2 linked regions of the Drosophila melanogaster genome follow. Changing the gene in region 1 together with any one later gene gives a genetic interaction. Each region holds a gene or a part of one and is shown on either strand. Other genes may lie near its edges.

The links. Genes that interact genetically often act in the same process or in processes that back each other up.
Region 2: of Ptp52F (region 1) and TER94, changing one suppresses a phenotype caused by changing the other (phenotypic suppression), as found in Drosophila melanogaster (one study listed by BioGRID).

What each region holds. Positions count from the first base shown.
Region 1 is NT_033778.4:16,172,264-16,180,196, forward strand, and holds the start of Ptp52F (protein tyrosine phosphatase 52F), read right to left. Parts: upstream 6,045-7,933; 5' UTR 5,909-6,044; intron 4,412-5,908; 5' UTR 4,391-4,411; coding exon 4,258-4,390; intron 4,106-4,257; coding exon 3,970-4,105; intron 3,909-3,969; coding exon 3,796-3,908; intron 3,736-3,795; coding exon 3,223-3,735; intron 3,159-3,222; coding exon 3,006-3,158; intron 2,941-3,005; coding exon 2,653-2,940; intron 2,589-2,652; coding exon 2,278-2,588; intron 2,204-2,277; coding exon 2,035-2,203; intron 1,968-2,034; coding exon 1,845-1,967; intron 1,780-1,844; coding exon 1,462-1,779; intron 1,389-1,461; coding exon 1,047-1,388; intron 978-1,046; coding exon 374-977; intron 315-373; coding exon 115-314; intron 54-114; coding exon 1-53.
Region 2 is NT_033778.4:9,988,398-9,994,079, forward strand, and holds TER94 (transitional endoplasmic reticulum 94), read left to right. Parts: upstream 1-1,805; 5' UTR 1,806-1,900; coding exon 1,901-1,992; intron 1,993-2,073; coding exon 2,074-2,176; intron 2,177-2,262; coding exon 2,263-4,299; intron 4,300-4,365; coding exon 4,366-4,520; intron 4,521-4,586; coding exon 4,587-4,680; 3' UTR 4,681-5,162; downstream 5,163-5,682.

The sequences.
Region 1 (7,933 bases):
GATGTAGTCCGATCCCTCCGCATCGATGTCCAGAATCACGCGATTCTTGTCATCTATTAAATGGGAAAAAATGTGGTTTCCCATAATGGTTATTGCTACATTGAAGTTACTCACAAGGAAATATGTCCGCATAGCGATTCTTGTGGCAACCCAATTCGGAGGCGGAATAGCTGAGCTCCAAGGCCACAACGGTGATCTCCTTGAACTCCCTGGCCAGTTTCTCCGGCTTGGCAACTTCGGTATAAAAGATGGCAAAGTTCTTGGCAATGACATTGCCAAATGGATCCTCGATACCCTGACCAGAATCACGTTTCCTGCACCAAACGAAGTTAAGTTCTTTTTTCTCTCGTGAAGATTGCCATCGTTGACTTACCAGGCCAATCGCTTGCGCACCCAGAGAACCGTCAAACCAAGTACGAAGGCCAGCAGCAGGCAACTGCAAACGCTCACCAGGATCAGGGTCACCTTGATGGCCGCCTTGGTCTTAAAGTTGAGTACGGCGGCATCGCTATAACCAGATGCGGTGAACAGTCTCACCACAACATTGTAATCCGTGTCTGGTAACAAAGGTCCATTGCAATACGTTTTCTGAACCTCCGAACACTTGTCCAATCCGATGGTAAAAACAATTTCCTCATCGGATGTCACCTCTCCATCCCTTCGCTGACGTTGAACGGGTTCGGGATGCCAGCGCTCCTCGGTGGTTTGGTACTCCAGACTGCAGTCACCTGTGCCATCTGCGCCGGCCTCTTGATAGGATAGAACCTTTGGCCAATCGCTGCTGACATCGTATTTGAGGTGTGGAACTCCAGCACAGTTCTTTTGCGAGATCATCAGTGCCATCCACTTGATGTCGCCGGATGCGGATGTCATGATGTCGGCTGGAAGGCGAACAATGGCCGTTTTCGTTGGATTAGATGTCTCCTCGACATTGGCGCGCATTTGCTTGATAAGCTCATCACTCGGAATGGTGGGCACTGAAAGAGAAGATACACGAATGGGAATCAATGGATTACGGATTACTTTTCCGTTATTTCGATACTTACGTCCCGCTGGCGATTGCCAGCTACCCGGTACACTGCTGCTCAACTGTTCCACATCGCGATTCTTTACGGACACCTCAACCGTATAGTCGAACTGTGGCTGCATTTCCGTTTCCGTGTAGGACATCCGTCCCTGCTTATTCCCCGTGTCCAGTTCCACCCGCCGTTCAAATGAAACTGGAGCGAAGTTATTTCGTGTGCCATTGAAAGCCAGCTGGAAATACTCGATATCGCCATTGGACTTGCAGGGCACCTTCCACGTGATAGTCACGTTCGCTTCGTACACGGCGTTATTGTTCACCGGACCCTGGGTTAGTACGGTCAACTGGGTCACGCTATCGGATACTACAAGATACGAAATATTTACATTACTCATATTACTCATATAAAGATATTCCATCTATTCATCTTAACTCACCTGCTGGCAAAGTGATACCAATTACGGGTTCTGTATAGACGCCCATTCCGAAGTCATTTTGTGCCGCAACTTGCATCATGTATCGCACAGCTGGAGCCAGACCCGTGAAGTTTACACTAGGATCACCCTTGGTCTCCGACTTGGTGTCCTGCTCGACTATCGCGCAATCCGCGGGCACAAAGTAGCTGGCCTCGTGACGCATCAGGAATGCCTGGTAGTACTTGATGGGTCCGTTTGTGTAGGTGGGCGGTTGCCAGTTGAACAGCAGGCTGCTGACAGTGCTCTTCTCCAGCATCACACTCTCCGGCTGCTCGGGAACTGAAAACACAGATCAACTTACATATGAACTTCATATATACATATGTATATAATGTAGGTCTTACAGTAGGTTGTGGTGTGCATATCAGCATCGACAACTGGTTCGGAAGGTCCTGCCACATTGTAGAGTATTACTTTGCAAACGTAGGTGGCGTAGGGGGAAAGTGGACTTAGACTGGCATTAAAACCTGAGAATGGAATATGAATTAGAATAGCCATCTGGATACCGAATGACTGGATGACCAGTACACCCACCTTGTTTGCTATGTCCCTCCACATAACGCTCCGCGTATGGATTTCGCACCTGGGTGGTGGCATTGCACGTGAAGAGCGCAAAGATCGTCGGACAGGAATTGTTGTAGTCCGCATTGAAGGCGATTAAATCAATAAATTCGGAGCCAGCATTCTTCATTTCCAGCTTGACCTTCAATAAAATGCTTGCAGTCAGTAAGAAATGGTCAAATGGATACGAAATATACGTAAAATAGTCCTTAGTACCTTAGTGTAATCAACTATAGCTGCTTTGGTCTCCACACCAACCTGTCTCAGCTGACCATCGAGGTTCTCCTTGGTGTATGGGATTATCTGAATGATGTACACCTGACAGGCCAGCAGATTCTTGTCGAAAACAACCGTCGTATTCTGGGTGGTAATACTAAGTGCTTCAACCTCAACCAGCTTATCGTCCTCCATCCAGCCGGACAATCGGTAGCCATCGATGCAGAGATCGGCGTACTCGGGCGTCTTCCAGCTCACCTCCATCGAGTAGGCTTCTGCTTCCACGACGGGATCTTGAATCACAGATGGCTCTACAAGAAGATAATCATAGTAGATAGATAGATGTTGGATGAGTTGAAGCGCACTTGCACTCACGATCCTCGCCCACGGTGCTCTGCTCCTGGTACTTGGTGCCAGCGCTTCCATTTAGCTGATTGGGCACAATCTCCACCAAATATATTCCACACGGATCAAGGTCGTCGAAGATAGCGAATGTCTCCTCTGTGATCACATTCATAGTTTTGTTTTCCGATCGTTGAATGGGTCCGGTCAGCGTTACACTATAGTTAGCCACACATTTGGGATGATTTTGTGGAGAGAACCAAGTCCAATGCAACTGGGTGGGATAGGCGGTGGGACTGGGTTCATAGACGGCACTGACCACTAAACATTTGAATTATGGTGATTTATGGTTTACTTGGATAGCTGGTCTATCTAGTTGCACTCACACTTTTCTGCCGAAGTAAAAGTCTGAGAAGCCTTGGCCGTGCTGTTCTCGTTGATGAAAACCTGAAAGGTGTACAAATCACATCCTTGAAGATCGGTCAGGAGGTACTCCCTCAGCTTGCCATCGGAGGAGACATCGGTCCACTCGCACTTAACTGATGGGAAGAATAAAACACATATGTATTTCAAAAGAGGTTATAAGAGGAACCTAGAGTCTACCTTCATCACTGGGCGTATCGGGTGTGGTCTCCATTGGTGTGGTGGTAACGTAGTCAATCTCGTTCGTAGTTTCCGTACTGGGCACATCCGTGGTGGTATCCTGATTTTGATCCGTTCCGCAATCGTTGCGTTGCCACTTGAAGACATAGTTACTGATGCAGTTCTTCTCGGAGGGATCTCCCCACGTGATCATCGTGATGCCACTGGCTAGGTTCGTTACGTTCATGACGAGATCGCCGGGCTCCGCGTACTGTGTGTCCACATCGGTGGCATCCGTGTCCACCACAACGCTAGCGTTGTTTCGCGTGTCCAGGGTGATCGTGTGCGTTAGGCAGGCGCTTAAATTCACGAAAGTCTGAGAACTTTTATCGTTTAGCAGCTGAAAGGATTTGGTGTAGTCCGTCGCCTTTGCCGTGATGCCAAAGGACTCCACACAGGCGCGGTCGTTCGTCTGCCAGGTCACTTTGATGGTGTTCGCTGTGGCCACCACTGAGGTCACTGTGGTCTTGGGCTCTGCGATTAAAGATGATATGGTTTATGGTTTTCATAGTTAGCATTTTTATATAAACATACGCTTATATTCAGTGTAGGCATAGATGGTTTGGTCAGAAGGCGGTGGTTTGCCGGAGACATTCGAACGGAATGAAACCACCGATGTGTAGAAGGTGCAAGGATTAAGGTTTTCACTGGAAATCATAGGCATTATGTTAGTCCGCGATATCATTTCACTCAAAACATTCTACGAACCAAACGTGCGCTGCGTTGGCCTCGGTTTCCGATCCGGATCCATTGCGACAGATCACCTTATCGATGGAGTAGTCCGCCTCGTTGGAGATGCTAAAGCCGAGTGTGTAGACCGTAGAAACCACAGTCACCTCCACCTCTGGAATATTGGTAATACATATAGCTTTTTATAGGCTAAAACAAAACTGGATGCACTTAGGATTTGAAAAGTATCTTATATCAGTGTATCTTATATTAATATCATATTATCAGTGACATCCATATGCTTATTTTTCAAAGAGTAATACTTACTCTCCGCCAGTTCCTGGCTCTCACTCACTGCCACCAGGGAACCAACGGTTTGTCCTTGCACCCCAGCGATCCAAAGGATAAGGATTAGTGCGTGAATCCTTCGATGCGATTGCTTCCAATTTGTGGCTTCCATCTTAGGGCCTCATTGCTTCTGCTGCTTTTTGCGGTGAGTAATGATGCGTTATTAATTATTAATAACAAATTGTTATCGGCGGGGAGCTAATGCAACCGGTTCCTGCGCGGGATTTTCCGCGAAGCATTAACCTCGCCCAATTGCAAAGCACTTGGCTCGCATGCACACTGTTCATTTGTTTATAAACACAAAACACAACAAATAAGAGTTCACTGGACGTGGGCAAACGAAAGGTGATTGGTCATAAACAATTAGTGGCCGCCGAACTTTTGCATATCTCGCGATGTGGGAAACGATTCTGGATCTCCCCGAGTTGCTGACCAGCGCAACAAAAATTAAATGTAATACATACAACTTCCAGCGAGCGATTTATGATCATTTCACAAATACCACACGTAAGTGGAAAATGTAAAAAAATAAACGAAATGGTCGAGATACCAAAAAAAAAAAATAAAAAGGGGGTTATCTCAATGTCGTGGCTTACACCCAAAGCCTTTTAATGCGGCGGAAATTCATGAGAATGAAGTTGGAAACTCCAGCAATGTCATGTCGCAATATTCTCTGAATTTTTTGTTGGATTTTTTGGATCCCTAGAATCTTATCAAGCCACTTCACAGGCTGGAGAAGTGGCCAGCAGATATAGATACAGATAGTAATCTGGCTTGTTGGACAACCCAATAATAATCGAACAAAATTAACGACAGATTCGCTAAAATCGCAGAGAATCGCCGACGACGATCCTCGAATTCGAATCGCGGCTCTGTTTGCAATCCCATCACGCAGTCGCAAATGGAATGGGTATAGCAATAGATATATAGATATAGATATATAGACTATATTGCCGATATGCTGAGTGCGTCATCGAAGAGCTTGCTAATCGAAAGAATTCCGTACCCTCAAATTGGCAGCACTAATTACTAATTTCAGTTGTCGCTGCCGGCAACGGAAGCAAGCGAAGAAGACAGCTCTTCTTTGGAGCAAATAAAAAAAATGACACTTTCCGATCATTATTAATGGGTTTGGTTATCAGAAAGTGTGGCAATGGAACGTTGACAATTTGCCAATGTCTGTGCCCGATTGTTTAAACAAATCGCAGCGCGCCGAGGTTTTCCAAAACACCAAGTAAGCCAATAATAACAATTTAACGTTTACAAACGAACAAGCGGCCTTTATCATCGGCATATAATCATCAGAGTTGTCGGTCTGATAACAGCCATACGGTGCTGGCTCATAAATGGCTTTCGATTTCGCCAGTTAAACGCTAATGTGGCCAAGAGGATCGGCTACCGCAGGATTAGCAAGCATTGCTAAACTGAATCATATTTAACATATATCTATAGAGCCATAGAATTGGCTGATATAGCGGCTATATCGATATAATGTAATGCGTACAAAATGGCTGATTAAATCTCAAACACTGATAACACACAACGAGTGCCCAAATTTGGCAAATGATTTACATTATTCGGCAATTTTCCCAATGAGCGATTGAGATTGTGTACGATACGCTGCACTCACAGGTGACAGATGGTTGCTAATTGTTGTTGCTGTTTCGCGAATATTTGGGCGCACCAACTATGAATAACGAATGTGTGTGTGTCGCCCGAAAATCAGTAAACTAATAACCGTTTCCGCTGAGCGATTCTCGAATACTGAGCGCCAAAGGGAGCACTCCATAAATCGGTTGTGTTGTGTTCTGGCGCTGTGTGAGCGGTGATAAGGAAAGTTTACTCCCATCGCGAATGTGTGTGTAAGATAACAACAAAGTCGGTTTACAATTAGCAAACTGCAGTGTTGACTATCGAATTGGGATGTGTTATAAATAAATAGCAATACTTATATGGCATAAATAATTGGAAACCCATTTTGTTCACTCACGGATAGGCGTTGTGGTTCCGCAAAAAAAAAGCTGACGAAGGTCCATTTCCTTATCAGCATTTTAAATAGCGCGCCAATTTTTTAAGCTGTTCACACTGCGCTTGCATGGAAGTAGGGCTTAAGTTATGGCAACTCGTTCTTTACTCAATGGTTTCAGTCCTTAGGTCTTATATAAGATATAAAAAGTATTTAGAAGTTATTATACATATTTTTATTAACATTTTTCTACATTCCTAGTCACATCGATAGCTAATCGCTGTCATCGATAGTCCCGTGATGTTTTTTGAGCTGCTTCCACTGCGGTCACACTAATCGAAGCATTTTCGTCCGCTCGTCACTTTTCTGCGTAATTCTTTTCGTATATTTCGATTAAACATAAATAAATAAGCGTAATTATAAATATATGAAATACTAAATTGTTGTAAGTAACGTTCGCTGCATAATAAGAACAAACACCGAGTCGCCGCGTTGTAAATAGAACACCCAAGCAAAATGGATTTTTCGCAACCAACCCGTGTAATGGGCTATTGGGAGAAATGAAGAAAAAAAAACGTCATATGTACAAAACTGCCAATGGCAAAGTGTTAGTTCGCGCATTATGTACCAAGCATGTCGGTTGGAGTCGGAAAATATAATATACTATATGTGCGCTTGGATATTTGTCCTTTTTCCCCATTATGCATATTGCCTTTGGGACATTTCTTTCTCTTGGCCCCCTCTCTCTATCCAAGATGGCCGTCGTAACAGTATTTTCGTTCAAACTGTTGTTGTTATTGTGTTTGTTATTGAAAAGAGAATGAAAAAACAAGCGAAAGAGTTATGCAAATTATGCACAAAAAAAGTAGTGTGTTGAACAAAAAGACGATCAGTAAATAAGTGGAGAAACGAACTATGATTACATTTTATTTACAACCACCAGAAAGCGATGACACATCGAGTGCGTTGGTGTGCGTGCGCGAGTGTGTGTGTGTGTGCGAGTGACGATGTCTGTGGATTTTCGCGCATGTTTGGAGTCCTCCCCCTCGCCAAAAGTAGAATTGATCGATTTTTAGCCAAGTCGAGTCCCCGAACTGGCCGATTCCTTGCATATATGTACTTCCCGTTCCCCCATAGGCCAACAACACCTATTACTGGGCAAACCAGTTCTGCCAATGCACAAGAAATCTCGTTTTATTTTCTTCGTTGTGCTTGTGTAGTTGTTTTTGTTTTTTTTTTACAGTTTTCCGTTTTGGGCTTTTTTGCTGCGGCATTCTTTTAGATATTCAAGACCCGTTGCGATTTCCCAGAATGTGTGGAAAGCGCTCCTGACACTGCAAATTGTTTCTATTATCTAGTGACGAGCTTTTTGCACGTTTCCAGCAGTGGGTTAAAGAAAGGCAAAGCAAAAAGTCTCGGCACTTAACGGTTAGTCCCTGCATTCGATGCCCGTCGTGGGGTTAAAGCTGGAGTTCAAAGCTTTTTTGGCTATTGTTTTCCTTTTTCCTCTCTCTTTTTGCACTTGAAATTGCAATTGCATTTGCTCGCCGGCGCGTGTGTGAGTGTGTGCTAATCAATGAAACACGCAAATAAACAAGCAAAGGCAAGTGCAAGGTCTGTTTGCCAGAGCGGGAGAGAGAGAATAAGCAAGCGAATTCAAACGAAAGGGGGAGTGAGAGGAAGAGAAAG
Region 2 (5,682 bases), 6.2 Mb from region 1:
CGCTGCTTCCTGCGCCGCGGAAGGCGACGGCCATCTTTATCAGCCACCCCGACTCCCCACTCCTCTTCATCGTCACCCTCATCGTCACAAAAACTGGTTTCCGCTCGCCACTTTCTTTTGCTCTCTGCGCAGGCGCTCTTCGAAGACAAGAGACTTGCAGGCGATTGGTTGAATTCGTTCTGCGTTTCTATGGAGTTTGCTCCCATTCTTTTGGGGGCAGCGACCACGCCCAATGACGCTGCTCTCCTCTCTGCCGACGTCGCTGTCACTCTCTTAAGTACTAAAAAATAAAACTGAAAGTAAAGCTAAATAAAACGCTGCCATAATTGGCATCGTTAATGCCAAAACCATGAATACTAAAAAGTTTTTACGAGCATAAGCTGCGATTGAGCAGTTATTGTAGGGACAGGTTGATGGCCGAGTGTTCTAGGGAAATGAATGAATGAAGATTTTTTCTTACTACCAAAACTTCTACAACTAAGTGAAATAGACGGATTGAGTTCTACATACTTCCTACATATATTTTAGATATAGACATAGCCGAAAAGTATGCTGCACTTTTTCAATAAAAACGTAAGCAGCTACGTTATCACGCATGGCTTCATAGCAGCGATCATCTGCCAGCGAGCATAGCCAAGTTAGGCACCTGCACACATTGCCACTCTTTCCTTTAGCGTTGCCACTTCAATTTCTTTTACAAACCATCGCAGCGTGTAATCGATATTTTCTAAGCCCAATCGATGAATGTCCGGTAACGCACATCACCAATCTGTTTCTGCTGCCTCATCTTTGAATTTGACTAAAAGTGCCGATTTCCAGCTCAACGAATAGTCCAAGTCGCGCCGAATTGTACAATTAAGTTAAAAAGTTCAACGTCAACTAGTTTATCATGGCAGATTCCAAGGGGTAAGTGAACTGGACGCCGAAATAGGCGCCGACTGTGTCGGTCCAAGTCGAAATTCACAAATTTCGCTCAGTCATTGAGCCGAAAAAAATACGCAAGGGCCACATCGCAGACATACTATTATTTAATTGTGAAAGGCTTTCGCCGATTTCCGCGAGACAAAGACATTTACCGCGACTTTTCCACTGCTCGGTTGCAAAATGTTGCGAAACTAGGGCAAACCTAAAAACCGAAGAAAAAAAAACGCCAGCGAGAATCGCCATTTGCAGTACGTTGTTGTTGTTGTTGGTGTTACTGCCCTTGCAGTTGTTGTTGCCGCTTGAAAACTTACGATTTCCCTTTGTTGTCCCAAAAATACAAGTCATCCTTTGCTGGAGGATACAATTTTCCGGTTGTTGTAGTTATAACTTTGGATACGAAAAACAATACTGCATACATATATGGCAGCTATTTCTATAATAAATCGCGAAAATCCTAAACTATATGCCGAAACCACTTATTTCAATGCTACCTATTAGTAATACCTTTTTTGATATTGCATTAATTCTAGAAAAGTCTTTGTGCTCCCTCAACTCGCCAGAAGTAAAAAAAAACATATCGTTTAAGTAACAATAAATGCATAATTTACCTCAAAGTTTAGAAATTATTATAACAAATGGCGCCAAAAAAGTTGGCATCGAATACAAGAAATACAAACATACTTTTATAACTAAAGACAATAAACAATTGTACTATTATTCCGATTAATATAGATTTTTATGAACGATATAGGGTGATAACCTTTTATGTTCAAAAATCTATCAATAAAGATTGATCGACATCATCACGTTAGCAACGAAAAATGATTCGGCAGGCCTAATTATCCAGATGCTTAGTTCCATTCCGTATTACTAGTGAAAGTAGTTTCCATAAATTTATCAAAACTAACAAAAAAGGCAATCCAAAAAAACAAAAAAAAAAACAAAAAAAACAATGTCTGGCGGCAAGAACGATAAGATGGATCATGATGGGGATACGAGGGACTTTATGCGGGGATATCACAGCGAGCAGGATGAGAAAATGAAGCCGAAAGACTCGTTCGATAAGCGGTTAGGCCAAATTATATATAAGACATAAGATATTTCTTTAGCGACGAGTCTTACGCGATGCTTTTTTCTTCTACCCTACAGTGAAGATCTGGCTACGGCGATCCTGAAGCGCAAGGACCGTCCCAACCGACTGATTGTGGAAGAGGCGCAGAATGACGACAACTCTGTGGTGTCGCTATCGCAGGTAAGATTCACTCTCCCAAAGGCCACGTCATCGCATGGCTAATTCACATGACTTGGCTGTTCTTTTTCCCCCTTAAACTATATCAGGCGAAGATGGATGAGCTGCAGCTCTTCCGTGGCGACACCGTGATTCTGAAGGGCAAGCGCCGAAAGGAGACGGTGTGCATCGTGCTCTCGGACGACACCTGTCCCGACGAGAAGATCCGCATGAACCGCGTGGTGCGCAACAACCTGTGCGTCCATCTTTCAGATGTGGTTTCCGTGCAGTCCTGCCCGGACGTCAAGTACGGCAAACGGGTGCGCATCCTGCCCATCGACGAAAGCACCGAAGGCGTTACCGGCAACCTGTTCGAGATCTATCTGAAGCCGTACTTCCTAGAGGCCTATCGGCCAATCCACATGGGCGACAACTTTATTGTGCGCGCCGCCATGCGTCCTATTGAGTTCAAGGTGGTGCTGACCGACCCGGAGCCCTACTGCATCGTAGCTCCCGAGACGGTAATCTTCTGCGACGGTGATCCAATTAAGCGCGAGGAGGAGGAGGAGTCCCTAAACGCCGTTGGCTACGATGATATCGGTGGTTGCCGCAAGCAGCTGGCCCAGATCAAGGAGATGGTTGAGTTGCCTTTGCGGCATCCATCGCTCTTCAAGGCCATTGGTGTGAAGCCACCGCGTGGTATTCTTATGTACGGTCCCCCGGGTACCGGTAAGACCCTGATTGCCAGGGCTGTGGCCAACGAGACCGGAGCCTTTTTCTTCCTGATTAACGGACCGGAGATCATGTCCAAACTGGCCGGAGAGTCGGAATCGAATCTGCGCAAGGCCTTCGAGGAAGCCGAGAAAAACTCGCCGGCTATCATCTTCATCGATGAGATCGACGCTATTGCCCCCAAGCGTGACAAGACCCACGGTGAGGTGGAGCGTCGCATTGTGTCGCAGCTTTTGACCCTGATGGATGGCATGAAGAAGAGCTCCCATCTGATCGTTATGGCTGCTACCAACAGGCCCAACTCCATTGACCCGGCCCTGCGTCGCTTTGGACGTTTTGATCGTGAGATTGACATCGGCATTCCAGATGCCACTGGACGGCTGGAGGTGCTGCGCATTCACACCAAGAACATGAAGCTGCATGATGATGTTGACCTGGAGCAGATTGCTGCCGAATCCCACGGACATGTGGGCGCTGATCTGGCTTCACTCTGCTCTGAGGCTGCCCTTCAGCAAATCCGTGAGAAGATGGACCTCATCGATTTGGAAGACGATAAGATCGATGCCGAGGTGCTGGCGTCGCTGGCCGTGACAATGGAGAACTTCCGCTACGCTATGACCAAGTCCAGTCCATCGGCGCTGCGTGAAACTGTTGTTGAGGTGCCCAACACCACCTGGACAGACATCGGAGGTCTGGAGAGCGTCAAGAAGGAATTGCAGGAGCTGGTGCAATACCCAGTGGAGCATCCGGACAAGTTCTTGAAGTTTGGCATGCAGCCCAGTCGCGGTGTCCTTTTCTACGGACCCCCTGGTTGCGGTAAGACGCTGCTGGCCAAGGCCATTGCCAACGAGTGCCAGGCGAACTTCATCTCAGTCAAGGGTCCCGAACTGCTGACCATGTGGTTCGGCGAGTCTGAGGCCAACGTGCGCGACATCTTCGATAAGGCCCGCTCGGCGGCTCCTTGTGTGCTCTTCTTCGACGAGCTGGACTCGATCGCCAAAGCCCGTGGCGGTAATGTCGGCGATGCTGGCGGCGCCGCTGATCGTGTGATCAATCAGATCCTTACCGAAATGGATGGCATGGGAGCCAAGAAGAATGTGTTCATCATCGGAGCCACCAATCGCCCGGACATTATCGATCCGGCCATCCTCCGTCCGGGCCGTCTGGATCAGTTGATCTATATTCCGCTGCCCGACGACAAATCGCGTGAGGCTATCCTGAAGGCTAACTTGCGCAAGTCGCCGCTGGCCAAGGAAGTAGACCTTACCTACATCGCCAAGGTGACGCAGGGCTTCTCTGGCGCCGATCTGACCGAGATCTGCCAGCGGGCTTGCAAGCTGGCCATCCGACAGGCCATCGAGGCTGAAATTCGTCGCGAGAAGGAGCGCGCCGAAAATCAGAACTCCGCGATGGACGTAAGTCATTTAGCTTAGCGCAAAAAATAAGAATGTTTATGTTTGACTATTTACCCATATAATCAGATGGACGAGGACGATCCAGTGCCGGAGATTACTAGCGCCCACTTCGAGGAGGCCATGAAGTTCGCTCGCCGTTCGGTGTCCGATAATGACATCAGGAAGTACGAGATGTTTGCCCAGACTTTGCAGCAGTCCCGTGGATTCGGACAGAACTTCAGGTGAGAATTGAAAGGCATTTCTTGTTGGAATCCAGGTTACTGATGATAGTGTATATGTTATTGCAGATTCCCCGGTCAAACCGGCAACACCTCAGGATCTGGTAACAACTTGCCAGTTAACTCGCCCGGCGACAACGGCGACGATGATCTTTACAGTTAGATTTCTAGTTTTACACCGCAAAACAAAACCACAAAATGGAACTTTTTAAATGAATTTTTTCCGTAAAACCGAGCAAGCAAAACCAATCACATTCGCATCCTGGACGCGGTAACTTACTACAGCAACCATTGGCTAAGACATCCAGCCGATGGCGAAATCAGATGACATACCCGATTCAATATTCACTTCTTTGATACCATCCTTACTCTTGGTCGCGGATACGTGCAGTAGGAGAAGGTTCCCATTTGGATTTGGGCTCGCCTAATCCGAAACCATTTTAATTGGCGAACTATTCCGCGCCTCACACTAATCATTCGTGCATTGTCGGTAGAGTGGCTCCGATATATGAGTTTCTATAAACATAATTATTAACGATACACATACACACATACATTTAAAGATAAATACATATATTAAACACCGTAAAATTATAAGTGTATTTGGAGCTACATTTTTAAGTGAATAAAAATTATAAATTCAACAAAATCATGTGCTTTAAATTGAAGAAATATTGAAAAATAGACGCAACGAGGTAATTGGGTGTTGAGATTAAAGAGCAAGAGTTACATAATCAATTATTTATTTTTGATAAGGTTCACTAGCAAAGTGGAACGTTGCTTTATTTTAACTGATCATTGGCCACAGTGCAATAAAATGCGTAATAAATTAAATTGGTCGGTACTCGTATGAGTGCAGTGAAAAAATATGTCTTCGTGCCTCGATTTCTGCAAGTCCAATTTAGTCATCAAGAGTACTAACCAAATCCATACTGTTCCCATTTGAAAATATCATTTCATTTGTTTTATCGCATTTATTAAACTTGTATTAATTCGTCATGTTTGCTTTTTCTGGTTTTCAATTGTTTTTTCACTTTTATTTTTATTAATTCTTTGCGACATAACAAGGACATCTTAATATGAAGTTAGTTGAATTCTTTCATATTTAAATAATCATTATCGCTTCGGTCTTATAAATAAACTTTCTTTGCCATTCTTTTAACCG